5 linked regions of the Nothobranchius furzeri genome follow. The protein of the gene in region 3 interacts with the protein of the main gene of each other region in a pairwise test. Links are inferred from orthologs where the notes say so. Each region holds a gene or a part of one and is shown on either strand. Other genes may lie near its edges.

What was found.
Region 1: the proteins of dctn2 (region 3) and ccdc172 interact in binary tests that used the Homo sapiens proteins (3 or more experiments, as listed by UniProt). The two-hybrid records come from large-scale screens. The link is inferred for Nothobranchius furzeri from reciprocal best matches to the Homo sapiens genes DCTN2 and CCDC172.
Region 2: the proteins of dctn2 (region 3) and htt interact in binary tests that used the Homo sapiens proteins (3 or more experiments, as listed by UniProt). The link is inferred for Nothobranchius furzeri from reciprocal best matches to the Homo sapiens genes DCTN2 and HTT.
Region 4: the proteins of dctn2 (region 3) and disc1 interact in a two-hybrid assay, tested with the Homo sapiens proteins (2 studies listed by BioGRID and IntAct). The link is inferred for Nothobranchius furzeri from reciprocal best matches to the Homo sapiens genes DCTN2 and DISC1.
Region 5: the proteins of dctn2 (region 3) and kifc3 interact in binary tests that used the Homo sapiens proteins (3 or more experiments, as listed by UniProt). The two-hybrid records come from large-scale screens. The link is inferred for Nothobranchius furzeri from reciprocal best matches to the Homo sapiens genes DCTN2 and KIFC3.

The regions. Positions count from the first base shown.
Region 1 is NC_091752.1:42,778,206-42,784,995, forward strand, and holds the start of ccdc172 (coiled-coil domain-containing protein 172), read right to left. Parts: upstream 3,653-6,790; 5' UTR 3,535-3,652; coding exon 3,456-3,534; intron 3,342-3,455; coding exon 3,256-3,341; intron 1,729-3,255; coding exon 1,612-1,728; intron 1-1,611.
Region 2 is NC_091746.1:25,539,289-25,545,548, reverse strand, and holds part of htt (huntingtin), read right to left. Parts: coding exon 6,242-6,260; intron 3,906-6,241; coding exon 3,764-3,905; intron 3,679-3,763; coding exon 3,499-3,678; intron 3,429-3,498; coding exon 3,252-3,428; intron 3,163-3,251; coding exon 3,086-3,162; intron 2,980-3,085; coding exon 2,844-2,979; intron 2,686-2,843; coding exon 2,563-2,685; intron 2,489-2,562; coding exon 2,281-2,488; intron 2,193-2,280; coding exon 2,047-2,192; intron 1-2,046.
Region 3 is NC_091743.1:61,816,020-61,822,279, forward strand, and holds part of dctn2 (dynactin subunit 2), read right to left. Parts: intron 4,704-6,260; coding exon 4,550-4,703; intron 4,352-4,549; coding exon 4,286-4,351; intron 4,081-4,285; coding exon 4,042-4,080; intron 3,912-4,041; coding exon 3,834-3,911; intron 3,118-3,833; coding exon 3,046-3,117; intron 1,592-3,045; coding exon 1,489-1,591; intron 641-1,488; coding exon 549-640; intron 1-548. UniProt on the Homo sapiens protein: Part of the dynactin complex that activates the molecular motor dynein for ultra-processive transport along microtubules. In the dynactin soulder domain, binds the ACTR1A filament and acts as a molecular ruler to determine the length.
Region 4 is NC_091752.1:2,346,796-2,353,055, reverse strand, and holds part of disc1 (disrupted in schizophrenia 1 protein), read right to left. Parts: intron 5,493-6,260; coding exon 5,438-5,492; intron 4,025-5,437; coding exon 3,922-4,024; intron 3,746-3,921; coding exon 3,557-3,745; intron 1-3,556. UniProt on the Homo sapiens protein: Involved in the regulation of multiple aspects of embryonic and adult neurogenesis. Required for neural progenitor proliferation in the ventrical/subventrical zone during embryonic brain development and in the adult dentate gyrus of the hippocampus.
Region 5 is NC_091749.1:65,946,825-65,953,084, reverse strand, and holds the end of kifc3 (kinesin-like protein KIFC3), read right to left. Parts: intron 4,182-6,260; coding exon 3,952-4,181; intron 3,882-3,951; coding exon 3,738-3,881; intron 2,551-3,737; coding exon 2,421-2,550; intron 2,341-2,420; coding exon 2,180-2,340; intron 1,234-2,179; coding exon 1,225-1,233; coding exon of another isoform or gene 1,173-1,224; 3' UTR 841-1,172; downstream 1-840. UniProt on the Homo sapiens protein: Minus-end microtubule-dependent motor protein. Involved in apically targeted transport. Required for zonula adherens maintenance.

The sequences.
Region 1 (6,790 bases), on a different chromosome or scaffold from region 3:
ATTTACTACAAGTGTTGTTTAATTTTTAATCTGCCTGCTGCGGCACCACTACTGCTTTCTACCGCTCTGCTTCGGGCACACGTGCAGTAGTGACCATCCAGGCGAGCCGAAAACGCAGCTCAAATGTTTGGAAGAATTTTACAAAGACAAAAGAGAAGCACGTAGAGTGCAAAAGCTGCGAAGTAGAACTCTCCTTTCACGGGAGTGTAACAGTGATGCATTAACACGTTAAAAGGAAGCCCGTCGTGGCGGAGAATGAAGCGGGGCGGTCGCCTCTGTAAGCTAATTACATCTCGTTAGCTGGGAGGTACTTGTGTTTATGGCAGTAGCAACAATAGTAGTGATTGCAATTTCATTACCTTTAGCACACCTGGGTCACGTATTTGCTCTGAGGTGACAAACACTAATGGTTTATTGCATCCTGCTACAATGTTAAAAACCCGCTCCTCTTCAGTGGATGAGTTTGTTACAAACCAAACCTTCTGACCGAGGCCATTTTGAATATGTTGGTGACAGATTGAGACCCACGTAACAGATCACACTTCAAACTAGAAGCTAATGATGGGTATGCTAGAGCAGCTGTGTCCTGCTGCATTAAGCTATACTTATGCATGACACGATTAGTCGGCTAATCGCCCAAATAACTGAAGATTTGTTGACTATTGAAATAATTGTTTGTAGCAGCCCTACTTGAAACATCACAACATTTTGACATTTCCTTACATCCCTACTCTGCAAGCACATTTCTTGTCAATAAATGCATTTGAAAGCTATTTCTACCTTTTCTTTTCATCCTTTTCTTATTAGGGTAATAGCTGGTAGTGTTTGACTTGTGATGAACGTGTACAAGAAAGCTTGATTTAAAGAAAATCAAGAATCAATTTGAATAGGGATGTAATAAATACATAAATACAGTAAAATATTGTGATATTTCGTGTTATGATACAGAATTAATTTTCATTAGAAGTGAATCGATTTGTCATTGAGAAATTTTATCCAGTCATTTACTGTTTTTCTTTTAAGTGGTGAAATTCAAACCCCGACTGCTAGGGGGCAGCAGCTTTTACTACCTTCATTCTGACAGAACTAACACTGGATGTGTCTTGGAGGCATCTGGCCTGAGTTTTTCAGTTGAACTCAGTCTTTTATTTAACTTTTAGTACCACAACATATCATATCGTCTCCGCTTATTGCGATATATATATATATATATATATATATATATATATATATATATATATATATATATATATATATATATATATATATATATATGTATATATATATGTATACTAGGAAGTTTTTGACTGTTCACCAGCAGCTTGAGATGCTGGTGAACAACATGAAAGAGCGTTGGTCCCAAAAACCAGAGAAGTTTCTGTTTAGTTGTGAAAAGAATCTGCAGGAATCTGTGGTGAATTGAAACATGGAGAGCCGTTGTCTGTTTTCTGATGATACCTCAGCACAGGAAATGTGGTTTCTTTCGCTTTCATGGTAAACACTTAAAAGTTATCAACAGGTCGAGTCACACCTGGTCTCCGCTGAAAACAGGTCTGTTTCTAGGCTCAGGGTGGAGAAATGTTGTGATCTGAGATGTAAATTAAAGCTCACTAGATGTTCCCTGAGGTGGTTCTTCTGACAAAGCAGTTCCTCGATTTGTTTCAACATCTGCTCCTCACTTTTCTTCATCAGATCACACTGCAGCCTCATGGTGGACGACTGCTGAGCCTGGAGCACAAACAGATGGCCGGAACGTCGGAAACATGTTCAGACACATTAATGAGAGGACAGATTCACAAAGACTTAATCTGCAGCATCAAGTTTTCACACTCGTTCTAACAGACTCAGGTCTTCCTTCCAAAATTTGGCTCAGTCCTTGCTGCTGTGTAATTATACAGTAATATCTTCCTGAAGAAAGAGGAGTACCACGTGATAAGAGAAGGTAAAGTCTGGCCTCAGGTGTTTCTGCTTTAGGATAGCAGAGTTTATTGGTTCCCACGTGGTGGAGGAAGAGCGGAAGGCAAAATGAGCATCTAAGTTCTCTAAACAGTGTAATTAAAGTTCTGAAAAGCAGAAGGCTTCCCACCGCAGAGCTGTAAACGCGCAATGGCGTAAACACAACATGTATATCTGAGAGATGTAAACAATATCAATATTCCTTCCTCGGGAGGAGCAGGGAGCCTCCCGCTGGCTGTTTTAGTGCAGATAATGCAGAGGCTGATGGTGTTTCTGAAGATTCAGCAGCTTGTTTTAATTAAAGCCAGCATTCGGCTCTTTTCACCACTCTAACAACAGAAGGAATAGTAATATTTCTGCGGGGTCAAACATCATATCTCACACATGCTGGAGGGGGTTCACTAATGTTATCCGGTGGAAATTAGCCATTGATTTTACAGAAGCACTCCGTATCGATCGCTGATTAAACGGATGGCGGGGATGGACGGTTTTAAATCAAAAAGCAAATCAGCTCATCAAGATGCCAATGAGAGCCTCTTTATCTCCTGTGTACATGTCGTTAATACGTCACACTGCTGCAGGTTAAAACACCGCCTTTATCTTTAGATTCCACAACGCACGTTAACTTTTATTAGATTGCTCTGCTGGGAACATTTTCAAACCCAAAACTCACCTCCACTTTATTAAGAACACCTGTTCACATCAACATCTAATCAGCCAATCAGCTAACAGCGTTTATTCATCTATAAGAGCTGCTGAAGCTGCTGAGCATCAGAATGGAGAAGAAATGAGAGAAGGCATGGCTGTTGTTGGTACCAGACTGGGCTGATCCACTGGGATTTGAACCCACAACCATCTTCTAAGGCCTGACAAACTGAAAGCATCCAGTGAGCAGCAGCTGTGTGGATGAAAATGTCTAGTTGAGGCCAGAGAAGACTGGTCAGACTGAAGAAGAAGAAGAAAATATCATTTCTGTAGCGCCTCTCAAGATAGAAATCACGAGGTGCTTCACAAAAGCAAAAAATGTAAAAATATAAAAAATGTAGAAAATGGTTAAAAATATATTTAAAATGAGCAAAAAATTGACAATTGTGATTAAAATAAAAAAATGGTTTTGGATAATAGAAAAACAAATCCCTAAAACATATTTTACTATAAATACTTAAACAAATCAATAAACTCTAACTTATTAATCTATAAACTCTAATTTATTAATCTTACTACGACATTTATGACCCACTCTATCAAAGCTCAAATGAAAACAAACATGAGCAGTATGGGTGAATAATAAATCCAGACCTTTAACTCCAGCTGCTCTTTGGTCTGCTGGTAGTTAGCTCTCTCGTTGTTGATCCTCTCGTTGCTTCTCGCGATAGCTGCTTTGACTGAAGTCAAGGCAAAGTGGTTAATAACTTTTTACAGAAAGAACCAAAATGTGATGACAATTAACAGTAGCTAACATTAGCCCTGAGAGATAGGCTAACGGGCTGAAATCCTACCATCTTTCAATTTCTGCGCCCGCTCGCTCAGCTGATGTTCACTCAGAAGAATTTGTCGATAAAGTGAGTCTAAACTCATGTTCACTCAGTGAATGTCACCAAGAACATCAAACAACTCCTTTACTACGAGTTTTTAAATCACGATAGCTAACTAGAGCTAAGAGACGTTATTTAGTGATGCTAGTAGACGAAGCTAAGCTAATCTCCGCCTCTATAGCAAAATTGTGGCAAGCAGGATTATCATATAATCGGTAGAATCTGACTATTTGGATTGTTCATGTGGATATTTTTAGACAGAAGGAACAATGAAACTTCCAGGCTTAAGTCACAAGCAACATTTAACTAGAAGAATGGATCACTTTCTACATGTATTTGAGTGTCATTTCTAGACTTTTTATGGAAGGAAATTTACAAATTTCTTCTGAAAAAAAAATACACGCACAGCAGGGAATGTGTTCTCAATCTGATTTCTACATGTCATGTGTTACATCCTATACAACCATAAAATATAACTTTACCGAAATATTTAGTTTTCATATAGTTAAAACAAAATGAATAACAATTCTTGTTAAAATTGAATATATGTCTGGTATTCACATGACTTGTTGATTCAAACTTAGACATAACTTATCCTTAGAAAGTTTTCAGCTTACAACACTTTATAAGAAACATAAAAAGTACAAGCTATTATAAAAATACATAGGGCACACTCAAAATAACTATTGTGAGACAAAAAAGGGAAAAAGCATAAATGATGTAAATTTTAGAAATGCATTGAAAACAATTTGCTAACACTGAAAAACTACTACTAGTACTACTGCTGCTGCTACTGAAATATGCATAATTAAATCGTTATTAACATCACACTGAAAATAAACGCATCATGTGTTTACTTGTTTAGAATTAAAAGATTATGAATATACTTGTTTAAACCTGTGTTTCTTCACATTATATTTTGTACATAAATTAGTCAATTTGTTGCAGATTTAGGTACCATGAACCTTTTTGTGTAGGTCTGAAATTGTAGATATTAGATGAAAGCCTCTGAGTAAGTATAAATGATCTTTTGACAAGGAGAAACTGAATATCTGCAACATACATATTTATTGTTTTATAACTACTTAAACCTTTAAGAACTTTTTAAAGATTATGAAATGTCTCATTTTGGAGACTAAATGGAAGCCCATTGATGCCACTCTGGTGAAATAAATAGTATTTGGTTATTATGACTTGGTTATCTCTTATGAATAAGGATGCATCTCATAATTATGGTAAATGGCCTGTATTTGATATAGCGCCTTCTAGAGTCCTGGAACCCCCCAAGGCGCTTTACAACACAATCAGTCCTTCACCCATTCACACACACATTCACACACTGGTGGGGCTGAGCTACAATGTAGCCACAGCTGCCCTGGGGCACACTGACAGAGGCGAGGCTGCCGAGCACTGGCGCCACCAGTCCCTCTGACCACCACCAGCAGGCAACGTGGGTTAAGTGTCTTGCCCACGGAAACAACGACAGCGACAGACTGAGCGGGGCTCGAACCTGCAACCTTCCGATTACGGGACGAGCACTTAACTCCTGTGCCACCATCGCCCCGTGCCAATTTTCTTTTATCACAGTGGCAGAAATCGGCTCCCGTACAATTGGAGTTGTGGAGGCCGTGCACTTTTCTTTTTTCGACCGGCAGGAAAAATGCAAAGTCATGTGTAAAAAGTGGCAGATGAGAATAATGTATAAAGAAATGCTATGACTTATCGTAAGAGGGTGTTTTAGCGTCTGCAATTAGGAAACACAAACGTGGACAAGACTCGGATGAACAAATGAAATATTTTCACATTTATTACTTTCACCTTGCTATATCTGCTTAGTCACAGAATTTGTAGTTGGCACAATAACCCCCCCCCCCCCACACACACACACACACACACACACACACACACTGGGATGGAGAGAGCTTCTGATCCGGTGCCATGAAGAACATTACTGCACGAGATGTCAAAAGACCCGAGGACTACATCATCCTGACATTCATTTGCAAAATTAATATCACATATTGATTGAGGCTTGTCATAAATCACCAGCCTTCCGCTGACTGCAGAGGCTCCCCTTGGAGACTTTAGAACAGCAGACTCATCAGATCGGAGCCAGACTATTATCCCACAAAGAGCAGGAGTCTGTCGCTCACTCGTTTACTCAAGTTCTCTGTGAAAATACAACAGCTGACTAAAAGTATTTTTTAAATGACTGAGTGAAGGGTGAAGGAATGATTGGTTTGTATCTAATGTGTCTTTTCATTGAATCTGACATTCAAGCAGGCCATTTTCATCCCATCCCTGAATACATCCTGCTCTTTCAGCCCTCCTGTGTGTGTGGGAACTGATTTATCGTGCTGGGCACCAGCATTCATGATTGATTGGGTCCAGTGTTTAATGCAGAGAGGCTCATTGACAGGTCCCTTGAAGTGGATTAGCTTCTGAATAGGCTTTATGCGCGATCAATGGGCTGAAAGTCCATGATGCATCGTCCCTGTGGTTATATAATATTAGACTTCAAGTTACTGATCAAAATGTTCAAATGGAGTCAGAATTAGATTTGAAAATATCAAACATGGTTTTATTATTCCTTCCAACTGATTTTACTCTGCAAACCACCAGTAGGGGGAGACAGACTCACAGTGTCTGATGAGAACAGGTCTCGCTTTCTCTCACTGTAGCTGATCACATTTCTCCTAAACGGACCTCTATAACTTTGCTTTTTGTGGATTCAGATTAAGAGTCTTTAAAAGCAGTTGTTCACCAGCCATACCGGGTTTCATTAATGAAAAGGCTCAGCAGCTGTTCAGGCAACACACATGGCCCATAAAGGTCCCTCCACATGTTGCTATATTAATCGTGTCATAAAAAGGCTCTGGGGTCATGCACTTTGACCTCTCCACGCAGCCCACAGGCATTACATTATTTCACTCTCTGTGATTTAAACGTTGTGGCTTGAATCCAGTTAGATCAGAACAACGTTGCTCTTACTAACCACCAATAAAATGATGGCGGTGATGGTTCTGCACATGTGCGTTAGCAATCAAAGTACTGCTGTGGACGTTTTGATGAAACAGACATTAAAAACACACAACTGGCCATAACTCAATCAGTGTGACAGATACTGAATTAAAAATTATTTCAGATTTATTAAAAGTCGTTCACATTATTAATAAGTGCCAAGTGATGGCCCAAGACCTTTGCTCCAAACCAGTAGAAAGCCTTCTTATTTGGGCAAATATAGCCGAGTGACCTTGAAAAACATCAACGCGGCTAAAACTCTGCCAGTTTTACAGATA
Region 2 (6,260 bases), on a different chromosome or scaffold from region 3:
TAAACACTACAGGCCTTCCATTTTGTATAACACTGCTTTTACTGTGTTGCGGTTGGTTATGTTCTGGTGACGTGTAGAACTTGGGAGAACAGGCTGCTGCCTGAGAGGTGGTTGGAGACGGAGTGTCTCCATGCTGCTTTGTTTTGGTCACTTATGTGCGTGAGGCGAGTGGTGTTACGACCCTTCCTGGGGAGTTTGGCTCGTGTGCAAAAAGGAAGGGACAATAACGCGGGATATAAAAGTTAAAATGATGATCAGGTTTATTTACAACTACAAAAAAACATAAATCTTTCCATCCACAGGTTGGGAATAATAAAACTAATTCTACCTGTGGGGAATTAAAACTAAAGTACAAATAAGTAGGGATGTCCCACTGGGCAAAGATTACAGGGTTCTGGACCAAAATAAGGATCTCCAAAGGTCCAAACTCTAAACTGTTGCCGGGAGACGAAGGCGGCCAAAACAAGAAAAGAATCTAGTAGCGGACGGACATTGTTCCAGGTCTTCGGTATTTGGTGGAGATGTTAGTGAAGGCGGAGAAGAGGGCGAACTAGAGGAAAAACTCCTGGGGATGCAACAAGTGGGCGATAAGCGTCGACTACCGGATCTGACGTCGACAAATTTTTAGAATCGAGCCGTCATCGATGCGTCGCTATAGCTCTAGCTGGTACCATATGATGTCACAATGTCATGAGCTTGTGTGTGTGTGTGTATTTGTTAGCGGCACCGCCCTTTCGGTCAGCTAGGCAACAGCATTTGTTGCATTTTTCAAACAGGAAGTGGGAGCGGAGTAATACTCAGGTAGGGGGTGACTTGCGCTTTAAAATTGAATTAGTTCTAGAATCCATCATTATTATTTAAAGGAAAACGTTTGAATCTGGGCCAGATGTTTGGGCCTGAAGACGGGTTTCAGTCGTCGGGTTCATTCTGTGATGCTGGACTACTGAGAGAGTTTAAAAGAGAGAGAAAAGTGAAAATGCTCACGCCCGTCTGAGAAAAGTGTAGAAAGTTGGTCCTGAGGGCTTTTCCAGCCTTGTTCACATCTAGTTCCATCCATCACAGTAAATATTAGTGAAACTGTCATGTCATTGTTTGTCAAATAAATTCTTACTTTCATTAAACCTGACTTTTCTGAATCAAAACAAAGTGTTTACAATCCCCTAATAAACAAAGAATCCTAGAATCTTCTGATTAAAACACAGTAAAGACCAGGCAGGGTGATATTCTATGTTTACATAGAGTACCACAGCTTATTGGTCATAAGTAGAGGTAATATATAGAGCTCTTAAAGCACTCAATTTCTCAAACCCTACAACTGCCAATGATGATTTTTTTTTACTGTGTGGGCGTCGGACGAGCCCCCACACCGTGAGAACAAACATCTCAGCTCTAAAGCCGATCTTCATCCGCGTACGTCATACGTCACGTGATCAGGAAGCAGAACGTCCACGTGTTAGGAGATCGTTTTGGGCCGCTGCTGTAAAAAAAGTGAGGTGCGAACCGGAAAAGCCTCTGCCGATCACAATTCAACAACGGATCATGAAAGAACGGATAACGCTCGAAACACGCGCATTCTTCCTGATGTAAGAGGTGAGTCTCCGCTTTGTTTTGGTAGTTTTGGCATCGACATCATGCTAGCGCGCGTTCTGTGACTCTTAAAAAAAAACCAGTAAAAACGGTGAGAAACGCTGGCAGTGAATGAGTTCATGAGGGACGACTGTTTGTGAAAGTTTGTTACATTTTGAATTCTGACTAAGATTCAACTGTTTTATCACACCCGTCGGGCTAATAAACACAGTTAGCGTGGAAATGTGGAAGTTAGAAAAATAAAAGCTGAAAAAGTGGAATTTGGGAATAAATAGAGGGTGTGATCAGGTCCTGGAGCAATAATGATGTTACTTGTTACGGCGTCCGGTTCATCGCCACACCAGAACGCTCAGAAACATCGTGATAAATGTTTTGGACCATCTCGCCCACAGCCGTAAACCCGTCTCATTAGCGAATCACCACTGTGTGCTACTGGCGGCCCGACCCCAGCCGGTTTACCTCAGCAGCCGTGCAGGTGAACGTGGTGATGAGCTGCTCCTTATCGGGGGGGATCTGCAACGATGGCGGCAGCTGGCCGACGCCCAGCAGGTACTGGGACAACGCTCGGCAGAGCGACAGAACCTTGGGATAAAAACTTGGATCATCTGGAAACAAAAGGATAAAAAAGGAAATTCCCGTTTCTTCTTTCCTTCATTCGTCTTGAGTCTTATTGCTCCGCCTCCTCACTCTCACCGTACACGCCACCCAGATGGTTCCAGTAAGGCTGCGGTTCCGGCGGTGGCAGGAAAGGCTGGTGTGGAACAGGAAGTGACCCCGTGACCTCTGCTAGTTGCTCAAGGGTCACCTGCAAGGCCGTGTCCAACAGGAGTGACCCCTGACCCCGCGTTAACCTCTGCAAGCCCACGCTCAGGCTCGGACACAACAGGCTCGGGTTGAAATCCTGCGTTCAGTAAGAATCATTACAAACAAAACTAAGCACCAGGAAGTGTTCCGATCCGCCCGTTTCCACGTCACCTTGCAGCTCATGGTGCTCAGGAGGTCCGGAGGAGGTAGTTTGGTCAGAAGTTCGGTCGTCTCCAAAAGACAAACGTCTCCGCGGAGACAGCACTGGGACTTCACAAGGGCCACGTACCATTCCTAAATAAAATCACAACAGCAGCCCAGTTTGACTGTTCTCATTCCAAAGTGAAAAATACAAAGCTGCAGTTTTCCTCTTTTCCCAGGATCACGGTTCCCTGGATGCTCCACAACTCATTCTGCAGATTTGTTGCTCCGTCCAGAATCTGAATCCTCACCTTGTCAGCCACGATCTTTTCCGGGGCGGGGGGTGGCTCCCCGTCTAAGGGGTGTGGTGTAACTGGAGGGGCGGGGCTAGCGGTGTCGGTCACAGTGGCTCTGAACCTGTCCAGCAGGGAGTAGAACCTCTGATGCCTGGCGGAGACGGGCAGAAGACAACATATTCTGTCATTTTTGAGTTTGAGCACAAAAATAATCAGCAGAGACGCTCTGATCCAGAACCGACGTTCTGGGAGGATACCTCTGGGCCAAACCGCTGGTCTGGAGATATTCCTGGATTCTTTCCAGCTCCTCCACAGGAAGCTGGGCGACGCTGTTCTAAAGGATCAACGCTGACTTTCAGTTTCACTGGTGGGATGCATTCCAGACCACTAGCACAATCCATCAGACAACCTGGTGAGCCTTACCTGCAGCGTCTCCGCCAGCAGCATCTCGACTCGGCGACACGCCAGCGTGTCGACCATGCGAGCTAGAACCCTGAAGGGAGTCCTGAGCAGCTTGTCCACATAGAGCATGAGCAGAGATCCGGACTGACTCAGGTGGATGCCTTCCAGACACTGCAGCGTCTTCTTTAACATGGTGGGCTGCACACACACACACATCAGTGAAGGACTCTGGGACGACAGGGAGGTAAGGAGTTAAAAGTCGCCATACCGTGGCGAGGTTGTCGCAGCGGGACTGGATGGCCTGGATGAAGAGGCCGCTGGCGGCTGAGTTTCGGTGAACAGCGCTGATGAAATCCTGGACAGGGGGCTCGTGGGAAAGGCTGATGAGGTCACGGACGTGGTTGACAATCAGCCAGGTCAGATGCTCCGAGTCGTGGAGGTTCTGACACTAAAAGTAAAAGACTTCATGTTAAAGTTGCTTCATCTTCATCCTGGCGGGAAAATCGAATCTCCTCCACACGTGTAAGTCTCACCACGTAATCACAGAAGAGAATTAAGGCTCCTCTGCGTACGATCTCCCGGTTGACCATGGCTAACTGGGACTCTGGGTTTTCTTCTTCCTCTTCCCCTGAGGAGTGAGGACTCAGCAGCTTTGTGGAGGACAGGCTGTGTCCCCTGGCAGGAAGTAGAAGACAAAAGCAGCCATTTTTAAAACATTAATAAGAAACACCAGGGGTGTTTCTCAATGTCAAGGCGCCTGGCCTTGCGAGGCGATGTCTCGCGAGGCCAGGCGCCTTGCTTACGAGGACACGGTCCTTCCTTGCAGGGTATATACAGCAATCCTTAAGTAAAATTTACTACTTTTTAATACTTTTTTTTACTACCTTCAGAATTTTTTTAAAACCATCACAACACTAAATTGCAAGTGTTAATCAGCGACCTATTTACACATATTTTAACATATATAACATACAAAAAGCATAGACTTAGAGACTCACTGATGTTGACAACGTATTGCGCATATTTATTTTACTTAGAAAATATGCCAGGCACTTCTTTTCAGCGGTTCAGACAGTTGACCACGGGGCCTGAAATGATGCAGAACGACCACTGAATATGACGTCATCATAATGTGACCGGATATGCTAAAGCAGGGCTGCTCAATTATGGCAAAAACAATAATCACGATTATTGTGACTGAAATTGAGATCTCGATTATTTAAGACGATTTTTCAATTTATGTAGATTTTTTAAATTTATTTTTATTCAGTCATAAAACTGCTCAGGGCACAATCAGGGCAAAAATAAACAAGAAACAAGATGATCACTAAAAGAACTCCTGATTCCCAGTATAAAAAGACCAATATACTTATAGCTCATAGTTTATGACCCAAGGGCTATAGACCTTGGTTTAACTCATTTAAGTCTAACCAGTACAGACCCAAATACCAATATCTTGCAAATACTGACAGCAAGAATTATACAGTGGCATTTATAACAAATAAATGCAAATAAATTAATGTTCACAAAATGTTGCATAACATTTATTTAGTCATGTCAAGGTGCTGTAGGAGAATACACCAGCACAGTGTCCTCAGAGAGATTAGTTATTAGTTATCAGCGTGAGGAACTTATTTCTACCTTATTTATAAACTATTTATTTACAAGTCCATCAGTTAATGTAATAATTGTCCCAACCACAGCTGCACCCCCCACCGCCCAACCCGGTCTCACAGCAATCGGGGCAAGCTGCACGTGTGTTTAGCGCGCCGCACGCGCACACTTAGCCGTTTTTATCGGCTCAGGAGTCCGCAGGTACGGTGTGTGTCACTCACTCTGGTTACTCCAACAAGGAGCCGGCTCCGAGAGCCGTTTCTTTAGCGACTGACACATCACTACATCATTCCCTTTCCTAATGTCCTGAAGAACGGTCCGGAGCGCAGGCGGAGTGTTTAGCTAACCTGCAGCAGGAAATGTCGACGATAGTTATCCAGAAAGTAGCTAAGGGTTACCAGAGATGTTTCTGAGGTGTTCGCTAGGTACTTTTAAGATTTAAAAAGTCAAGAAGGGGGTCTGAAAAGCTGTTGGAAATAGCATCAAAGTCGCTAAGTTGGCAACGGAGCGCTTCATTTGTAACTCAGGGCAGCTCAAGTGGGAGGAGCAAATAATCGGCTTGTTTTATTTTTATAATCGTTCAAAACATTTCATTCGGAATATATTTCTATGTCGATGTTCAGAATACGACACCTGATAGTCTGAAAAAAATAATACCTAACTTGGAAAAAATAATACCTCTGAGACCAAATTTAACACTTTTAATGGCCTTAAATTTGACTATTTTTATTTATCACTTTTTAATACTTTTTAAAACCCCGCGGACACCCTGCCTTGGTCAAAGAAAACGGTTAAATGGAACAGACTAGCATCACATGACCACGGCTTCCACGGCGGTCACGCAACGTCACGTGACACGGGAGATAACGTTATATTTTATACGTATTAGTTTCAATATAAATATATAACGAGCCTTTTACTTTTTAAGTTGTGTATATGTTTATTTAATTAAATATATAAGCGAGTTACTACCTGCTAGCCACCGAAGCTGCAACTACTAAGCAACTAACCAACCATAGATAACTTCTTTGGATCTAAAAAAACATTTTAAATTAGTTGACTCACTTTTAAACTTGAAGATTGTCCCCGAAGTAGCTGCCGGCTTCTGATCCGCCATCTTTTTGAAAATACTGCGGTGTATTGTGGGTAATTTTTGACCAAGGCTAGGCTACAAGACACCTCCCGTGTATCCTCGCTCAGCTAGCTAAACGGCTAACAAACTGAAAACACACGCCTCGGTAGAACATGGACATTGGAACACGTCTTGGCGGCTCTCAATGACGTATCTCCTAGGCAACCGGGGCGGGGCCAAGACATCAAGGCAAGGTTCCTCGGCATTGAGAAACACCCCAGGATTAAAAACCCTAAGCCTTTTCCTCTGGACCCCGAGTCGGTACCTGGGTGTCTGGTTAACTT
Region 3 (6,260 bases):
GATCATGACTTCACAGACTGCTTAAACTTCCGCCACTGCTGAAATGAGATTTCAGACGGATTACTTCTTCAAACTGACTCCATAACACAATGACCACCCAATGGATAGGCCAAAGAGGTAAGTACAACTAAAATGCTAACTGCTAGCTGAATGCTTTTAAAGTTCAGGGACAGACTGAGACAATGATTCAGGCTGGGAATCTGCTACCATCTCAGCCACAAAAACAAACACACACACACACACACACACACACACACAGGTGTAGTGTTACCTCGGCGCAGATTCAGACCGACTCCCTGTAAACACAGACTACATCCCTCTTGTGATTGTTTTTGGAAAGGAGAAGAACTCCCCCCCCCCCCCCCCCGTTGTGGATAGCTTCTGAAGCTGCAGCTACAAAACGGCTACAGAATCAGAGTTAGGGCTCGAGTTTCATCTGTGGTCTGAAAGGAGCTGATAGGAAAGCCACACAGGATGCTGTTGAGACTTTAAATGTAGATTCACTCAGTAGTTGTCTTACAAACACACCAGCAATGTGATAGTCCTACCTGTGTTAGCAGGGTGTTGTTGTCCTTCAGAGAGTTGTTGATCATCTGCTGAGTCGTGTCCAGGTGAGTCAGCAGCTGGCCAAACTGCATGGCTGTCAAATGGATGAAACGTTTAATTCCAGCATTAAATAAATGATGGCTGAAAAGTACTTCCATCTTTGGTAGAGGAGAAAACTGTTTGTCTAAATTCACCAGAGAGAAGAAAACTTTTGCTTCAAACTGTGACGGATCGTTGCAGAGACGAGCAGAATGATAAAGGACCTCATTCTGCTCCCAGAAAATCATCCTCAAAATAATCTATTGATAAAGTTATGCTTTTATGAGCTAAATAATAAAAATGTGATATCAAGAATCAGACATCTCCATCTCTCCGAAAGCAATTCTTTTAAATGTTGGTAAAGATTTGGTTTCATTCTGTTCTGATTTTTCTGCTCTGTTATTATTTTTTGACAGACATGGTTTGGTAAGACTCCATTATCTCTTTGAATCTCATTTCCTCTTTGTTTTAATCTTTTGTTTCACACAGAAATTTCCACAGTGGATGCAAATCCTTCAAACCAGGACATATCAGATGCAGCCTGAAACGTGATCAGAGTTCACTCCCTGTTTTGATCTGTGGGGAATCGAAACTACCCCAACTCCTCCCCCACTATCCTACATACATGCTCCCCTTGAACCCTCATGGGCGTCATTTCAAGGTTATTTTTTTTCTCTCTCAGTTAACGATTTTTTTCTTCCTCATGAAATAAAAGAACTACAGCTAAAGCAACTCGACTCAATTAATTATCTGATGCTGACCTGCGACGGACTGGTAACCTGTCCAGGGTGTACCCCACCCGCTAGCCCAGAGACCGCTGGAGATGGGCGCCAGCCCCCCACTACCCTGCATGGACAAGCAGGTACCGACAATGGACAGATGGATTCATCTGATGCGTCTTACCTTGCTCATGCAGTTCCTTCACAGCAACAAGCCTCTGCACCACCTGAGGTATGGAAGTGGACACGGCATCCCACTTCTGCACCACGTCATACAGCTGTGACACCTGACGGGTAGAAGTACAGAAGCACAAATGTAGAAACAATCAGATTTATTCGTGTTAAAAGAATGAGATGCACCTGTGTGGTATGCCACAGATGCCTTTAAAACAAACAATTCATGTCTGAATCACGATTCTTGTTTTTAAAGATTCAGAATCAATCCTGTACAAAAGCCTTTATGCAAACTGCTGTATGTCTGAATGTCCCTGAATGCATCATTGCTGGAACTAGTGCTCACTCTGGCTGTGTTTCTACGCTGATATCTGCTGAAATACGACAGATACGTACCTTTATTATTATCCTGTGTGTGTTCTATGAGTGAAGTAGTAAGTTCCATTATATTTTATGTTTAAATGGTGTTATCCTGTTTAGTTTTGTTTGTCGTCTCATGCAGACTGCATTGTGCATAATTGATGCTTGTTTAGACTAACTTGTGCCTGTTAGTCTTCCTGTTCAATGATAAATGTAACTGGTTCATGCGAATATGTGCTACTGGACTAAATGGAGCATCATCATGTGAAGACTTCCTTCCATTATTATTTCCAACCTAATTAGGGTCATATGTGGTGTAAGAACTAGAAAAGTATCCAAGTTTCCTCAAACCCAAACATTAAAATGGTGTAGAAGAGTAATGTGTGATCAAGCCAGGCTGAGCTCAGCAACACTCACACAGAGGAACCTTTTACTGGTTTATTTTCTATTTAACTCATGAAAAGCTGAATGTTTAGGTTAGAATGAGGTTTTTAGTAGTTATCTGGGTGGATGGCCCCCTTACCAGAGGGCCATCCACCCTTTAGTCCCCACGTCTCCCCCACAGAGGGCCTTTGGGGTCACGGTCATACGCCTGGGAACAGCTTCTGCTCCGTTTGCTCCACTCCTGTTTAACTGTATACATTTCAAATGACTTTGGGCATTTCAGGTTTTCTTTATTTTAGAAAAAAAAAATTATTAAACAATTTCTATGCAGGACATGCTGCTCAGGCTGCCTGAGAGTTAAATGTTATGTGCTTTCTACATCTGTTCACTCAGTCTAAACGGCAGGATGAACAAAACAGAAAGTTTAAGCAGCTGTTAAATTACAGTTTGCCATTTCATTTTATGGCCACAAACAACGTCCCTGCGTTAAAAATGACTCTCCAGTCTCATGTTAGAGACTTCCAGAACGTGCCTGTGACTCTTCTTTGAATGTTACAATCATTTGGGAATGTAAAAACTAGACCAGTTTACTAACAGGAAATCAGGGTGGGATTCTGGGAACATAGGCTGCTCCCTACTGGGCGGTTTCATGTAACAGTCTAGAAGAGGAAACCTTTTCTGAATCAATAGAGATGTAGATGCTTTGCAATAAAAGATGTCACAGATTTGGTGATTCTTTTCAAAAAGACACACCGACAGCTCCACAAGTCATTTTTTATTAACCAAACATTTACTTACCACGGATTCATGCTAGATTACCAACCTTGTTCTGTGTTTCAGCATCTTCAATCGCTGCCTTGTGCTTAGCAATCTCATTCATCTTCCCAAGGACGCTCTAGAAGAGAAGAGAGAAGGATAAATGACATAAAAGGCATCGTTTTCAGGCCGGCGGGTAAAGAAAGAAAACATAAGTGATGGCTCCGGGTTAACATCGACACCCATGTAGGGAGCATTCACCGTCAACATTATTTGTAGATCCGATCCAAATGTTTATCCAAACGCAACGTTTTTAGCGAGCAAAACGCAGCTGGGAGGTCATTTACTACAGAAATGTGGGCTGCAACGTGCAGATAGAGGAATGTAGTCTGCTATCCTCTCGTAGCAGTCAACAGACTACAGCTGGTGAAACAATATAACAATATGAGTCTTAAATGTGATGAGAATAATTTTCATGGAGCCACAGCAGACTGAGAGCTGCGTACGTTAGAGGACTCGTGTCTTTCAACACCTCCGTCTGATCTCTGTTGAGCAAAAATGATCAAATAGATGTTTGACAATGGAAGAAAAATATTTCTCTGCCTTGAGTGTGTGAATGTTACGCAACAGTGTGACGTAGATCTGTCAGGCCTTTTAAATCCTAGCGTTTCACTGTCTATTTTCTATCAGAAGCTAAAACAGGAGATGTAGGGTGTAGGAGACTATTTTCATGTTCAGCCTGCATGAGTGACCAATTCTAATCATTAAGTTTTAAGTGAAACAACAAATGATGCAAGGAGAAACGAGAACAGTTTCTACAATCTCATGGCTGCGTGCTCTGTTGGGAGTGGTCACCTGCAGTCTCGCCTCCACTTGATCCAGAGTAGCAGAATCCAGGGCGCTGACTCTTGCCTGCAGGAGCTCAATGGTGTCCTGAAACGAAGATAAGCACACGTTACATAAATAAGCCTCAAATCTGTTTCTACATCGGGTGACGTCTTCAACGTCTAACCCAGTTTTCTTGTAGAACAGAGTTTACTTCATCAAAAAAAAAGTTTCTCACCATCAAACTGCCTCCCTGCACACCAGCATTCAGTGGTCCCTACAATATAAACAAGGGGAAAATAAATTCACCACAGCAAAATGAAGCCTTTCCGTAAAACAATCAACTTTATTTCACGTTCACTTTGTGGAAAAAGACCCAAAAGGTTTGTGGTTTGAAAGCAGAGAAACGGATATTGTAGGGAGGAACTGTGACAAGCATTTCGGAGGAAGTGTGTAGGCACTGCGAGCAGCTCGGTGTGTACCTGCTTGTCTGATCCTGAGCCAACAGCCATTTCCAACTGAGCCAGACGCTTCTCCAGCACTGCCATCTACAGGGAAGGAACAGGCAGACTCGGTGAACACAGCATCCCACAAGGCTCGCACTTTGCTTCTTATTTCCTATCCTGTTTATCGTCATGAATTATTCTGACATCGACTCACGAGGAACAGAAAAACCCACACTGGGCAGCTGAAATGACTACATTTATTCATCCAAACAGGCTCTGCTATCTCCACCTCCACATCACCTTGGCAGACTCGTTGAATTTTTCCTGCTCCGGTCTGCTGTGCAGCTCGTAGAGCACCACTCCATCTGGACCTTTTGTTGCAGAAGTGGCTTTGGAGTCTCCTGCAGAGCTGCCACGGCTGCCCTTAGCCACCTCCAGCTGGGTGAGCAGACGCCTGCAGGAAGGAGAGAGAGGAGGAAACAAAATAATTATACAGAACGCTCAACATAGTCATCAGCCTTATGCGTTGTCTGGAGTCGGTCTTCATCTTAGTCTAAGAACAGTGTCCCAACTACAAACCGGAGAGAATGAGCTGCTTTAAAAGAAAAAATAAAATAAAACATGTTAGTGCTCTTTTATTTTCTGAGTCAGTGTAGAATGCTTCTATTCCATCACTCTAGCCCTCTTCTGGTTTGTCCCAAGCCGAGTGCTGGCATGTTTCCCAGCTCTTTTGCTGAAAATGACATTTTGAGTCTTGCTCGTTAATATTCATAATGTGCTTACATCTGGTCTCTGATTGGCTAACATCAACACAACTCTTCTGCTACCTCCGTTTGCTCATCTTTCGTGGGTAAAAAAAAATTCAGTGTTGATGTTTTAATCTCCACAAATAACACAAGCCTGAAGGAGTTCGGCCATGTTGTGGAGTTGCTAATGCTAATGGTTAGCTTCCACTTGCCCACTCTGGTGTCTCATGGCCGCTAAACCAACACAGCCCTGCAACATAGCTTTTTCTGACAGACCGTTTTTCTGTTTATTTCCTTCCTGCAGCTAATTTTGGTGACATTACCCCGGCGAGCCATCCCATTTATGTAAACATCTAGTTTAGCCACGACCCCCGTCGTGGGGCGGATTCTGTGGTTGTTTTTCAAACAGTCTTCAGACGCAATTGGACAGCACTGGGACCAGTGAGAGCAATGAGCAACTTGACATTCATCACTATGGAAACCAGTCAAAGGGGCACTCGGCAATAGATCGTCAAAGAAGAAAACACAAATACATCCTTTTTGAAATAAAGGACCCAGTACCTCTATATGCTCATCTCTCAGAGAAAAGCCAAGTCTAAATCGTCCAAAGTTGATTCAAACGAGCGCCGTTCTTGAGCACACGTTTTCATTTTCGTCCATTGTAGCTCTGGTGCTAAGCCCGCTATATGCCCCTCTGCAAATGTAGAGCACTGTGATTGACTAGAAACAAAATTGTTCGGGCCAATGCTAGATCTACTCTTCATTTGGAGCGTGGCCTACACAGAGCTAGGGCTGGGGGTAAACGATTAGTTTTAAAACGATAATTCTGACAGTTATTTTTTCGAATAGTCGACTATTCTAATGACTATTTAGACGATTAATCTAATTATTAGTATTTTTCTATTGCACAAGTAATAAAAAACAGAAAATCTCAAATAAATTCCTCAAAAAATGTGATCAATTGGTACTGTACGAGAATAAACGCTACAGGCCTTCCATTTTGTATAACACTGCTTTTATTGTGTTGCGGTTGTTTATGTTCTGGTGTCATGTAGAACTTGGGAGTGCAGGCTGCTGCCTGAGAGGTGGTTGGAGACGGACTGTCTCCATGCTGCTTTGTTTTGGTCACTTATGTGTGTGAGGCCAGTGGTGTTACGACTCTTCCTGGGGAGTTTGGCTCGTGTACAAAAAGGAAGGGATTTAAAAGTTAAAATGATGATCAGGTTTATTTACAACTACAAAAAAACATAAATCTTTCCATCCAC
Region 4 (6,260 bases), on a different chromosome or scaffold from region 3:
ATTCAAGTGTGGCGCATTGGGAGGACACTGGGTTCTTTGTAGAGTTCCTTGAATTGCTTGTTTTGCACCAAGGTTTAGCTTAGCGCCGGACTTCAATAGTTCATTGTTATTGTGATATCGGTGCGTTCAGTATCAATACTGCAAACGACTGCTTGGACTCAAACAAACTCATGTTCTGAATTATAATAAGTCAGAAAGCGGTGAGAGAGGAGAAAGCAAAATGTAGATTTACTACAGGGATTCCCAAAGTGTGGTGCGCGCACCCCCGGGGGTGCGCGAGCTGCCGCTAGGGGGTGCGCGAGATGAAAAGTGTAATGGCTGCGGAGCTCAGAGAAGTCTGTCAGGTGTCACCATTAGCGTAGCCAGAAACTCATTTGTGGGTGGGCCAAAGAAAAAGTAAGTGGGCCCAATAAATGTAATTGAAAACAAGTATATTTTACTTGTGTGTGTGTGTGTGTCCTCCGCATGTGCCCTAGCTTCATAATAACAATGCGCCGAGCTTCAGCACTCTGGCCTGCGCACGCCGATATGTTCCGTATTTGATCATTTTAACGGTGTTGGAGGAATCTGAAGGTGGCGAGTCATTCTGGCAGATTGTAATTAACACCTGTCTCATGCAGGTGTTCTGACATTGTAAACCTCACACGCGCTGAAGATCTGAAGTTTAGAGTGCGTCTGTCAGAGGTCAGACGCGTTCCGGAACCACGGCTCACGGGTGCACAAGTGAGCACATCTGGGCTGGGCAGAAGTCATTTTACAACGTTGGTTTAAATAGCGCCAATAACGAGACACAGTGACTTAAACGCTGCAAGTTGTGAAGCGCGTTCCCTCCGCGAGACGCATCACCAAGCGGAAAGTGAATGCGTCAAGCATAAACCAAGCTTCGTGGAGCTGTGCTGCGCGCACACACACACACACACACACACACAGAGATTCAATAAGTGCACGCTGCGCAAACTCCGGCGCGCCAGACTGATACCGTCAGACTGAAGGCAGAAATGAGCGCTGCCTCCTCTGTGATAAAAACTTTTAAGAGGTTTTATATCAACATTTTTCATTCCAGGTCAAATTAAGATATTAGCTTCTATTTTGGGATGATGTATTAAAGTCGGGTCCGCTCCAGCCAGTGACTCCGAACCTGCAGCATGTTGTTCCAGTCCGCGTGGCAGCGGATCGCAGATTCAGCCACACCATAAAACAGCAATAAGTCGGTCTGAGGCAAAAGTGAACCTCATGGCTAAAGCTTTTCCCCTATAGACATTTGATTACGCACAAGTAGGTGATCAGCTCAGGTTTACGCAGAGCAGAAGGAAGGAGAGCGCTCTGGCCGCACAGATTAAACGTTCCTACTTTAAGAAAACCGTTAAATTGCATTGTTTATGTGCTACCTGGGCACTCTAAATATTTATTTAAAATTAAATCAAAGGAAATTGTAATGGTATCGAATGTTTATTAATTACTATTTAAAAAATGAAAGTGATGGGGAAAAAGGTCGATCATATTTTTTTTAACCCTGTCTGTTTAGCTTGACGTCTGATATCTATCTATCTATTTATCTATCTATCTATCTATCTATCTATCTATCTATCTATCTATCTATCTATCTATCTATCTATCTATCTATCTATCTATCTATCTATATATATATATATATATAGCCATGCCGTGATGTGTGTGTGTGTGGGGGGGGGGGGGGGTGCGTCGACATGGTCGGGACATAGAAGGGGGTGCGCGGCTAAATAAGTTTGGGAACCACTGATTTACTACAACTGATGCATAAATGATCACTTTTAGAAATGCATCTGAACAAACAGCAGATCTGCAACGAGGCGTGTGTTTATGACGTGGTCAACATGTGTATCTGCTAGAACTTTGCTGTGGAGATATAAAGAACAGGTCAGTGGAGTGATAATGGCGAGAGGGTTGGGTTTCCATCCTGAGTGACCCAGGATCGGTTGTTTTATTTGACACATTCAGGGTTCTCCTTAACCCTTATTACCTTATTTTCCGGACTATAAGCCGCTACTTTTCCCCCACGCTTTGAACCACGCGGCTTACCATGAGGTGCGGCTTTAGTCCACCAGAAAGGATGGATGCTGGAAAGTCTAATGAAGGAATGGTTAAAGGAGCGCTACGGAAAGCACCCAGGAGGGGTTTTTCACAGTAAAACGGCGCCGCTTGTTTTCCCAGCTTCACCCGGGATGATGACACGGACATCGCCACAGAAAAGGTGCGTGACGAAGCTCTTCTGAGGCTGCTCAACTCCGACACTGAAGAAGAAGATGACTTCAGTGGTTTCAGAGCGCAGGAGGACGATGAACAAACTAATCAGTAACTTTTCTGTTTTGTCTGATACTGATCAGTTCAGTTACGTTCAGTTAGACTACGTCTTCTATCCAGTAGATATCTGCGGCTTTAAGCCAGGTGCGGCTTATATTGAGGTGCGCTCTATAGTCCGGAAATTACGGTACAAATAGTTTTTTTAAATGATCGGTTACTCTGAATGTGAAAATAGTATTCCATCCCTGTTTCCTGCATTTCCTTCGAACAGAAAACACACGGTGAAACTCTAGAGTTAGTCAAGCCTGACAGATTCACGTCACACTGTCCTTGATCTCGACTCGCGACAGTTCAGCATCCAGGAAACAGCAGAGCACATTTTGACGAGTAGAAGCTAACCGTTAGCATTAGCACCACACAGCAGAACTCCTCCAGGCTTGTTTTATGTGTGGAGATAAAACATCAACGTTGCAGAGCAAATGGGGTCAGCGGTGGAGTGGCGTTGCTGTCAGCCAATCGCATGTCTACGTCGAGGTGTCCAAATATCGGGAAGTAAGAATCCAAATCATCATTTGAAGCTCAACTTTGATTTGGCTCACTTTTAGTTCCCGAAACAGGTGCACTGGAGGATTTTCTCTCCAGCGTGTGACACGAAACGTATAACTAGAGATCACTGCCAATGTTTTAAATAAGCGTGGAGGCAGTAGCGGCGGGGGTTTAGAGGAGCCACGCGGGATGCTTGAGCTGACAGAGCGACAAGTTTGGTCATTCTCCTTTTTTTGGTGGTGCAACAAGAAAGTGAAAATAAAAAAATGGACATGTTATTCTTCATATTTTTTATTAATTTTATAATTTTTGGGTAAAAAAATTCCGCCAATTGGAGAAACAAAAGGTTGCGTGGCTAGACTGCTTAAAACTAGAAAAAACATCATGTTAGATTTATTGGCTGGTTTTTAGCGTTCTAGCCAAGCAACTGCTGCTTACCTCATTAAATCAAAGTAAGCACGTATAATCTGTCGGCGTTGGTGTTGTAGTGGTGTTTTTACATCAAAACATTCAGGCAGTCCGCAGGGAATTCTCTGGGTGCTTGTTTGTTGTTAATAAAAGGTTTTCATCCTTGTATTGGTTTAAGTTGGGAAGGAAAGTAAAGCATAACAGTTTGCAGGCATCTAGTTAATGACCAGGTGAGCTCTTCACTATAGAAGTGTTGAATCACAGGAAAGAGCTGTTGATTTTATTAACATCCTGTTACCTGCAGGAGGCCTCAGAGACTCACCGTGCTGCGCCTCCCTCTGCTCCAGCTCCTGCCTGAGCTGCTGCCGCTGCTCCTTCATCCCGGCCAGCTCCTGGCTGCTCCCTGAGCTGAGGCTGTGCAGCCTCTTGGCCAAAGCCTCCAGCCGGTCCCGCTCCAGGTACACCGCCTTCATCTCAGCCTTCAGCTCCTTGGCGCTGCTGAAGTCATTACCTGCGCCGGTGCACCACAGGAGGGCATTACACTCTCACCGCCTATTAATGAGCTTCTTGAGCATTAATGGGGTAATCAAGCAAGGCTAATGGTGAGCGATTCGAGCAAATGGGGTAAATGAAAGGATGCGTAATGTAGCAGGGAGGTTTTGGAGGTAAAGCTCAGTGGAAAGTTACCAGAGATGGCTGCCAGTTTGGCTTCATGCAGCGCCAAAAGCTGCGTGTCGGTCTCGCTGACTTTTCTCCTCAGGCTGCTGCCCAGCCTCTGACTCATGACCACCTGGGGATAAAGAGGAGAAGAAGATGCAGAGGAGTGAGATGGGGAGGGTGGTAACTAGCAAAACCTTTGCACAGGCATGGATCCCACATGATGCACTGCTCATTTCCTCGTCTGCCTTCATTTTCTATCTGAAACTCATTCTTTGACGACCTTACAGGTTTATCTGCATTTCAGCGTCTGTTCTGCTCTGAATGCACAGCCGAGAATCATCTCTCCTCATCAAAAACCTCTAGAGATGACACAAAAGGCTTATTTTCATATAATATATGGACTATTAGAAAGTCAGAGCAGGTTTTTGGGATGAGAAGCTGCCGCTCAGAGCAGAATTTATGGAGTTTTTTTAAAGATCCGATCCATCCACTCTGCTCCTAAGCATACACACTTTTAGCTGCATTCACATAAAATCCTCGTTTCTTTTGAAGAATTGTTTTCACACCTCAAAGATACCTAGAAGTGGATCTTCTTATGCATTTATTCCTCTTCTGGAATCTGACACAGTTCTGCACATGGTTGTCAAATAGATTGGTATTTCACAGGCAGAACATCTCCAGGGAGGCTTTTTTTTCTCTTTCCTCCCACAGAAATAAAGCAAAACAGGCTTGAAATTTTTGACTTCATGCAAGAAGCTCTGTGGAGCACTTTCTGCCGTCTGTAGAAATTCTGACACCGACGATTTCATTTCCAAACATCAGGCTTTGTCAATTTTGCAAAAGCGGAGAGAATGAGAGTCACTTTCATGCCGGGAATCGTTCCGTCACAGCAAGTGTGCCGTTTTCCACATGGTGGGTATTTCATTTAAGAACCAAACTTTTCATTCCTAACATAACAATGGAAACTCTTGCGACTGGTGGAAGTGCGAACGTTGCTTTGAAGTGCAGCAAACCGGTGGTTTGATGATGGGTTTCTAAAGGACACGTGACCTCTCATACCTGCTGTTTGTAAACTGCAATTTCTTACACTTTTTTGCCTTTTTTTTTCCAGCTGCAGAAGCTTTATTAGCATAAAAGGGGAACGTCCAATCCCTGTGGAGCAAATGAGAGTAAACAAAAACACACCATACTGACCAGACTTCTATTTTTACTTTATTATGTACTTCCTCTACTCAAAAGAAAAAATCTGACAGCTTTATCTTTAACATCCCTATTTCACTTGGGAAAAAAAAGCTGTTCAAAATGGCACATCCTGCTGCTTCTGACTCCAGCACGCAGCGGTGAAGAGATCACTGCTTTGTCAAATCAAAAAAGATCACAAGAATGCAGACTGACATTTAGTTTGCATTTTGAGCACTCCGACAGTGGCACTTACTGTCTGCTCTGACTATTAGGCTTTCATACACATTCAGTCACTGTGGGCAAGCAGCGAGGAGGCTGAGCGGTTAAGGAAACAAATCAGGTGAGAGGAGCAGGGGCTTACTTTAGCTGTAGCTTCCTTGATGGACAGGTTTAACACCTGCTCCTCCTCCTGCAGTCTGCAAAACAGGCAGAAAATGTTCAAAACAGAAGAAATAATCATTAATTCATTAGAGTCAATCAAACAGTTGTTTAAAAGCAAGAGAAAATCAGAATCAGAATCAGAATAAGCTTTATTGCCAGCGCTCCAGCGACCCAGTGCATAGGAACTTGAGTCCGCAAACACAACCTGACCAAGGTTAAACAGACGCACATGTAGACAGAAACAGGTACAGGCAGTCACGAGAGCAGCCAGAATGGCGCTCATTTCATTAGATGGAAAGGGTGTTGCATGAGGATAATTGGGGTAAGGTAAAAAAAAAAGGCATAAAAGAGTTAGACCCAGCGGGGAGTAGCTCTATTATACAAAAAAAAACTCCTCAACATAGAAGCACGAACATCACAGTTACAAAACGTCAGAGTCCGATGGGGAGGCGGGGTTGGGCGGGATCCTGAATCCTCCAACGGGAGCTGCCATTATGGCGCTCAGTCAGCTGCAGTCAAACAGGTGGGAGGGAGGGATGAGGGACAGAGAGCACATTGAGTTTCCTGCAGGTTGCTGACCTCGAAGCAGAAGTCACAATCTGAAGGCGGGGGGGGGGGGGGAACGGTCGGGACACAGCATCTGTCAGCATTCCTCCTTTCGTGGGGGAGTGTTGAGCAGCCTTGAGAGGCTGCCTTGGCGTCAGATAAGGATAAACAAGACTTTGTTTAGGGCAGGCAGAGATCATTTTCCTCTCTGCCTTGGAGTCTATAAGGGGTCATTCATGTCCACCAGTGAAGCCAGT
Region 5 (6,260 bases), on a different chromosome or scaffold from region 3:
GTTCTGTCTGTCCTGCCTCAGATGGACAAGCTGCTGCAGAGTAAATATGAGAGGTGAGACCCAATCAGAGCTCATCATGTGATGTCAGAACAGAACGGTTTTAATCAGCAGGAGGATGCTGACCCAGCTCTGGTTCTGTTCCTCAGCTACATGCAGACCGGTGCCACGTCTCTGAAGCTCATCATGAAACACTTCTGGACTCTGATCTCCCAGAGCCTGAAGGCGGCGCCGGCCGTCGGAGTCGACATCAGCCGAGAAGAGAGGCAAGTTTCCGCGAGCAGCGGCCGGACCGGGTTCGGTGCTTCCTGTCAGACGTTGTAGAACTTTGTGTTTTTTGTTGCAGAACCCTTAAGTGCCGCGAGTGCAGCAAACATCTGAAGAATCTGAGCAACATCGTAAAGACCAAGGCGTGCCAGGTGGGTCGCCATGGCAGCACCTTCAAGGAGCTCCAGCTGCTCATGACACCGCTGGATGAAACGCCCTGATGAGCCGTCCGGAACCAGCAGAACTGGGTCAGGGTGGATCAGCTGGACTCAAACTTTTCTATCGTTTAATTAAAACAGAAGTTGAAGAAGCTACAACATTGAGACCAGCCAGACCCACGAGGACTCGCTGCAAACCGAGGCGCGCGTCTTAAAAACCAACAGACTGAATTTGATGAACCGTTGGTTCTGGTTCTGACCCATCTCCAGAACAGCTGCCAGCACAGACTTTGATCACATGCTTTACTGAACCAGGTACCAGGACTTAAGACCTGGTTCTGCTCTGGACCAATCAGAGGATTGATAACTATTTAATAAAAACCTAAAAGGTTCTGAAACATTGATGACACTAAGCCGCTTGGTTCTGGAGAATTTATTAAAAACAAAATACAAAAGGTGTCTGAGGTCAAAGGTCACCTGCAGTTGTCCAGCTGCTTGTGTCTGATTGGACAGAAGAGTTCAGCTACTGGAAACAAAACCTCTGATTCTCTGTTGAAGCCATTTCCATAAATTAAAACTAAAGATGTTTAATCTCCAGGAACATCAACAGAACCAGGACCCACATCTGGCCCAGATGTGGGTCCAAGTCTGAAAAACCATTAAAACATTTAAAGTGCAATTTTATAAAAAGAAAAAAATACTGTAGATTTTATTCTGGGTTTAGGGACCGGGGCTAACCCAGGGGAGGAGTCAGTGGAGACCTCTGGGCGTGGTCCGGTCCGGATCCATCAAGTCGTCATCTTCAGACGTCCTGCAGAGACAAACACCTTTAGTCAGTCCGTCCACTTGCTGTAGTCACATGACCAAACACATGACATCACAGCCAGCAGGGGGTTCTGGTCAAAATCAGCTGATCAGTTTGATCTTGCAGCTTGTTTCAGGTTCAACTTTTCACACAAAACGCTGAACTAAAAGCAGGTGAGAAGGTTCAGTCTGCTGATTGGTCAGGAGTCTGGAGGCAGGAGCAGGCCTGCTCATGAGGAGGAGGGACAAACAGGTCTGTCCCGGGCCTAGGATAGGTTGGGGGGGGGGGGGGGGATCTAATGTCTCAGCCCAGGGATTCCCAGATAAAACTATGAAGAACACAGATCCTTAAAGCACAGTCACCAGAACTCTGGCTAGGACCAGCCCGGAGCTGAAATCAGCAGCCCAGTGGACGTTTTGAGAACATTAATCAGAACCACAGCTGAACCAGACCGCAGACTCAGTTGTTCCGCCAGATCCTTCAGTCCAGGTTTAACTAACATCTGCAGCGCCCTCGGCTACAGGAAGCCATTAGGCTCAAACCTGCAGCGTACAGCTGGTATTTACCCTAACCAAACAGGAAGTGAATCCACCTGCAGCTCATGTTCATCTTTAACCTCCTAATTTCTGCCAACACGAGCACTGTTACCATAGTAACCAATAAATACATTTGCAGCTCGTGTGTTTTAAGACCAAGAGCTAAAATAAAAACAACCATCCCATAATCCTCAGCAGGTGGTGGGAAGGGTAGGGGGAACAACATGAGCTCTAAACAACCTCCAGGTGTTTCAGCGCTCATAAGGGCCAGAACCTGAGGTCGTCTGGACCCAAGGGTTCAGTGGGCCCTGCCACAGGCCTACAGGCACACAAACACGAGGGGAGGTGGCGGGCGGGGCATGCCATGCTGAGCGTTCATGCCAAACGGTCCAATCAGCACACAGACCCTCACCTACCTGCCCACCGTCCCCCAACAACGGGCTGCTTCCGTCAACCTGTCTGTCTGAAAAGCAACCAATCAGAGCACAGAATGAGGAGGACACAGAGGAAGATGGACAGACTGACAGCGGGACTCCATCAGCTGGACAGCTTCGTCTCCCAGAATGCACTGCTGCTGCTGAGGAACAAAGCGTAAACCTTTATGTCTGTGTGTGTGTGTGTAGGGGAATGTGTGTGTGTGTGTGTGTGTGTGTGTACCTGTGGACAGCTGGGACTGGGACCTCCTGCGGGAGCTGCTGGGAGTTCTGGAGGTGGAAGACAGTGTGGACCCAGCACTGCTGGCCCTAGAAATGGGGAGGGGGACCGGCGTCACAGGGGGAGAGTCCAGCTGGTGAGAGGTCAGAGGTCAAATAGCACAAGTGATCTGACGGGGAATCAAATATCCAAAGTTTATTTTTATATGAATGTAAATGTTGTTAATGGCTGTAGCCCTCAGTTAAATGAAAACACGATGGCTAATCCAGACTCACAGATTAGAGAAGAGCAGCAGGAACCTGTTCCCTAACCCTGCTCTGGTTCTTGGGATGAAAATACACATCTGCAGTTTCAGTCAACGGGAACCCTTTAGAGCAATAATGAACATGGTCTTTGTCTCGTTGGAAAAGGGTGAATGGCCAGCTTCAGGTCGGACAAGAGACTCTACCACAAGTGGAGGAGCTTAAGTATCTCTGGGTCTTGTTCACGACTGAGTAAACGGGAATTGGACAGGCTGAACTCGTCTGTAGGTGTGAAGAGGAGCCGAGCCAAACAGCCAGGCTCTTAACTTACCGTATTTTCCGGACTATAAGTCACACTTTTTCCATAGTCTGGCTGGTCCTGCGACTTATACTATACATCAGTGTATACCGCGCTGCTCCGGTCCGGCTCCGGTCCAGGTTTCAGCTCCCCTGCCCCGCTGGGAGGGTTTGAAACACCGCCATCCTCTGCTGGAGACCGTGGCGCGCTGCTGCGCCCTGATTGTTTATTCTGTTATTGTTACCGGTACCTGTCTTGCGATGTGAAACGCTTGGTCTCAGATTTCGTAAGAAAAATAATAAAATTTCCCCCCAAAATGCGACATATATGTTTTTTTTTCTTCCTCATTATACATTTTATGGCTGGTGCGACTTATACTCCGGAAAATACGGTACTGGACGACCTTTATCCCAACCTTCACCCAAGGCCATGAATTTGGGTAACGGCAGGACAAAATCGCATAAACATGCAGCTAAAAAATCTCTATTTAATCCTTTTCTTAAAATTGTTCAGCACTATTTTGGACTGAATCTTCTACGACAAGGTCTTATCAACAGGCATCAAAATGTAGATGGAGAGCAAGCTTGGCCACCTCCTAGACCTGGGTTAGTGTCCAGCCCAGGAGCCTCACGTATGGCTCCATTACAGCAGATTTATTAAAACCGTCGTGCATCTGACTGTAATATAAGACTTCACACTGTTTAGTCTACTTTTATTTTGAAGATACCAAAAAAATGTGAACGTCTCAGCCCTGACCAGCTGGGCGGAGCTTAGAGTTACCTCCACACTGTTGTGAGTGGGTGAGGAAGAGGTGGACGAGTTCTCGTGCCGCCTAGAGGAAGAGTTTAGCTCGACGCTGCGAACACGCTGAGCAAACTTCAGCGAGCACACCGACTCACTCATGTTGCCAGGCAACGGAGAAACCTGCAGGAATGGCAGGCATGAGACAGCAGGAAGGAACAAAGACTAGTTTCTGGACTTCACCAGGTCTCACCTGGACCATCATCAGAGTTTTGCTGTCACCGCTCAGAGAGTCCTGCAGCAGGTAGGTGAGGCGGGAGTTCCTGAAGGGAACGTGGGAGTATTTTCCTCGTAGCGCGCTGATGACATCACCGAGAGCAGAAAGCGACTTGTTGATGCACTGAGCCTCTCTGAGCCGACTGCCCTCTGCTCCAGACTTCCCGATCCGCTCAGAGCCTGCCAGATCCACCAGGTTAAGCTTTCCTAGACCAGAACACAGGAAATCAGGTCTCACATCCAAACCTTTTAATTCAAGTTCATCTCACAAGGCTTTAGAAATGAAAGGACGCACTGATGGATGTGAGGCTGCCAAACACTGGCGCCACCGGTCCCTCTGACCACCACCAGGTGGTGCTTAAAGACACGACTGTGACAGACAGAGTGGGGCTCAACCCAGCAACCCTCCAGTTCCAAGATGGGCACTAGACTCCTCTGTCACCACCGTGAGTGAATACTGTGAGATTCCAGCCATGTTTGCTTTCACAACTTTAAGAACTCTGTGCTGTGTAACACACAAATCCCGACACGTTCTCCCAGTCAAAAAAAAAAAAAAAAAAAAGGTTGAGAAGTGTTTCATGTTTGATGGTCATGTTGCACATCATGTTGTACAAACACACACAACAGGTAAAAGTTTGTGCATTTTGAAACAGATTGGCCTTCGTAGAAATTGATCCACCAGTTCCCCGCCAAAGGAGGAGATACATCTGACAGTTGTCAGCATATAGATGGAATTTCACACCATGCTGATGTAGGAGAATCCCCAAAGGTACACAGAAGGAGGCCCAGGACAGAGCCCTGCGGAACGCCCCATTGTAGGCCCACCCAAGGTGATGACGCCTCACCCATCCTCACACAAAAGCTCCTGGCATGAAGGTATGAGCGAGTCCACTCCAACGCTAGCCCTAAGATCTCCACTCAGCTCTGCAGTCGTGATCAACCGCATCAACGGCCGCAGACAGATAACAGCAACAGAACTACAGCATCTACCAGGGTATCTGCAGGTTTAAGGGAGTCAAATTTAAGACTTTTTAAGACCTTTTTTAAGGCCACTTTGACCAAATTTAAGCTATTTTTAAAATTAAATTTAAGCTATAATTTCCAGCTATTGCCTGGAACCGGTGCTAACCACTTTGCGAACGTGGGATTAACCATCCAGTTACCATTAAACTTGCACTTCCCCATGGCGCGAGCTCCCACTAGCTTAACCAGCTAATGTGCTCATCTAAAGATAGCCCCCTTTCACAACCAGCTGAATGTGTACGGTTCCGCTTACGCCAACATCATACACAAAAAATGCTGAACACTAACTAGAAATTCACGAAAAATTTGACAGAAATAATAGAATCTTATTTATTGGGTCTTTGGTAATTTAAGACCTTTGGAAACTGTATTTAAGGATTATTTGTCATTTTTAAGGATTTTTAAGGCCTTAAATTTGGAAAAGCTAATTTAAGACTTTTTAAGGACCCGCGGATACCCTGATCTACATCTACAGCAGGGGCATCAGTAGCTCAACAGGTTGAGCGGGTTGTCCAGTAATCGGAAGGTTGCAGGTTCGATCCCGTCTCCGGACAGAGAATTCTGCTGTCGTGTCCTTGGGCAAGACACTTAACCCACCTTGCCTACTGGTGGTGGTCTGAGGGTCCGGTGGCGCCAGTGCTCGGCAGCCTCGCCTCTGTCAGTGCGCCCCCAGGGCAGCTGTGGCTACATCGTAGCTCATCACCACCAGCGTATGAATGTGTGTGTGAATGGATGAATGATACACTGTAGTGTAAAGTGCTTTGTAGTCCTTACTCTGAGAGGCGCTACACAAGTGCGGGTCATTTATCATTTATCATATCTCCGATGTTGCTTGCCAAAGAGCTGTCATTGAGGACCATGAGGAGAGCAATCCCAGTACTGTGACCAGCCCTGAACAGCAACTGGAAAGCCTCCCAGATCTCCTGAGTGTTTAAAAAAAGCAACTAGTTGAGAATACACGACTCTCTCCAGGAGCTTTGATAAAAAGGGGAGCTTCGAGATGGGCCTATAATTAGCCAATAGTGAAACGTCCAGTCCAGAAGCCAGAACCACACCAGAACTAAGACTACCACTTATAATAGTCAAAAGAAAGGGTGCTTCCCTTAGTATCCTAGGAGGAAGAACATCACAGAGAGAACCAGATGGACCAACTTTCCCAACTCGGACATGGACACAGTCTCAAAAGCAACCAAAATCATCTGGAAGTGACACAGTACTTCAACGATAACACCGTTGTTGGAGAAAGCAAGGATGTGACCGTAA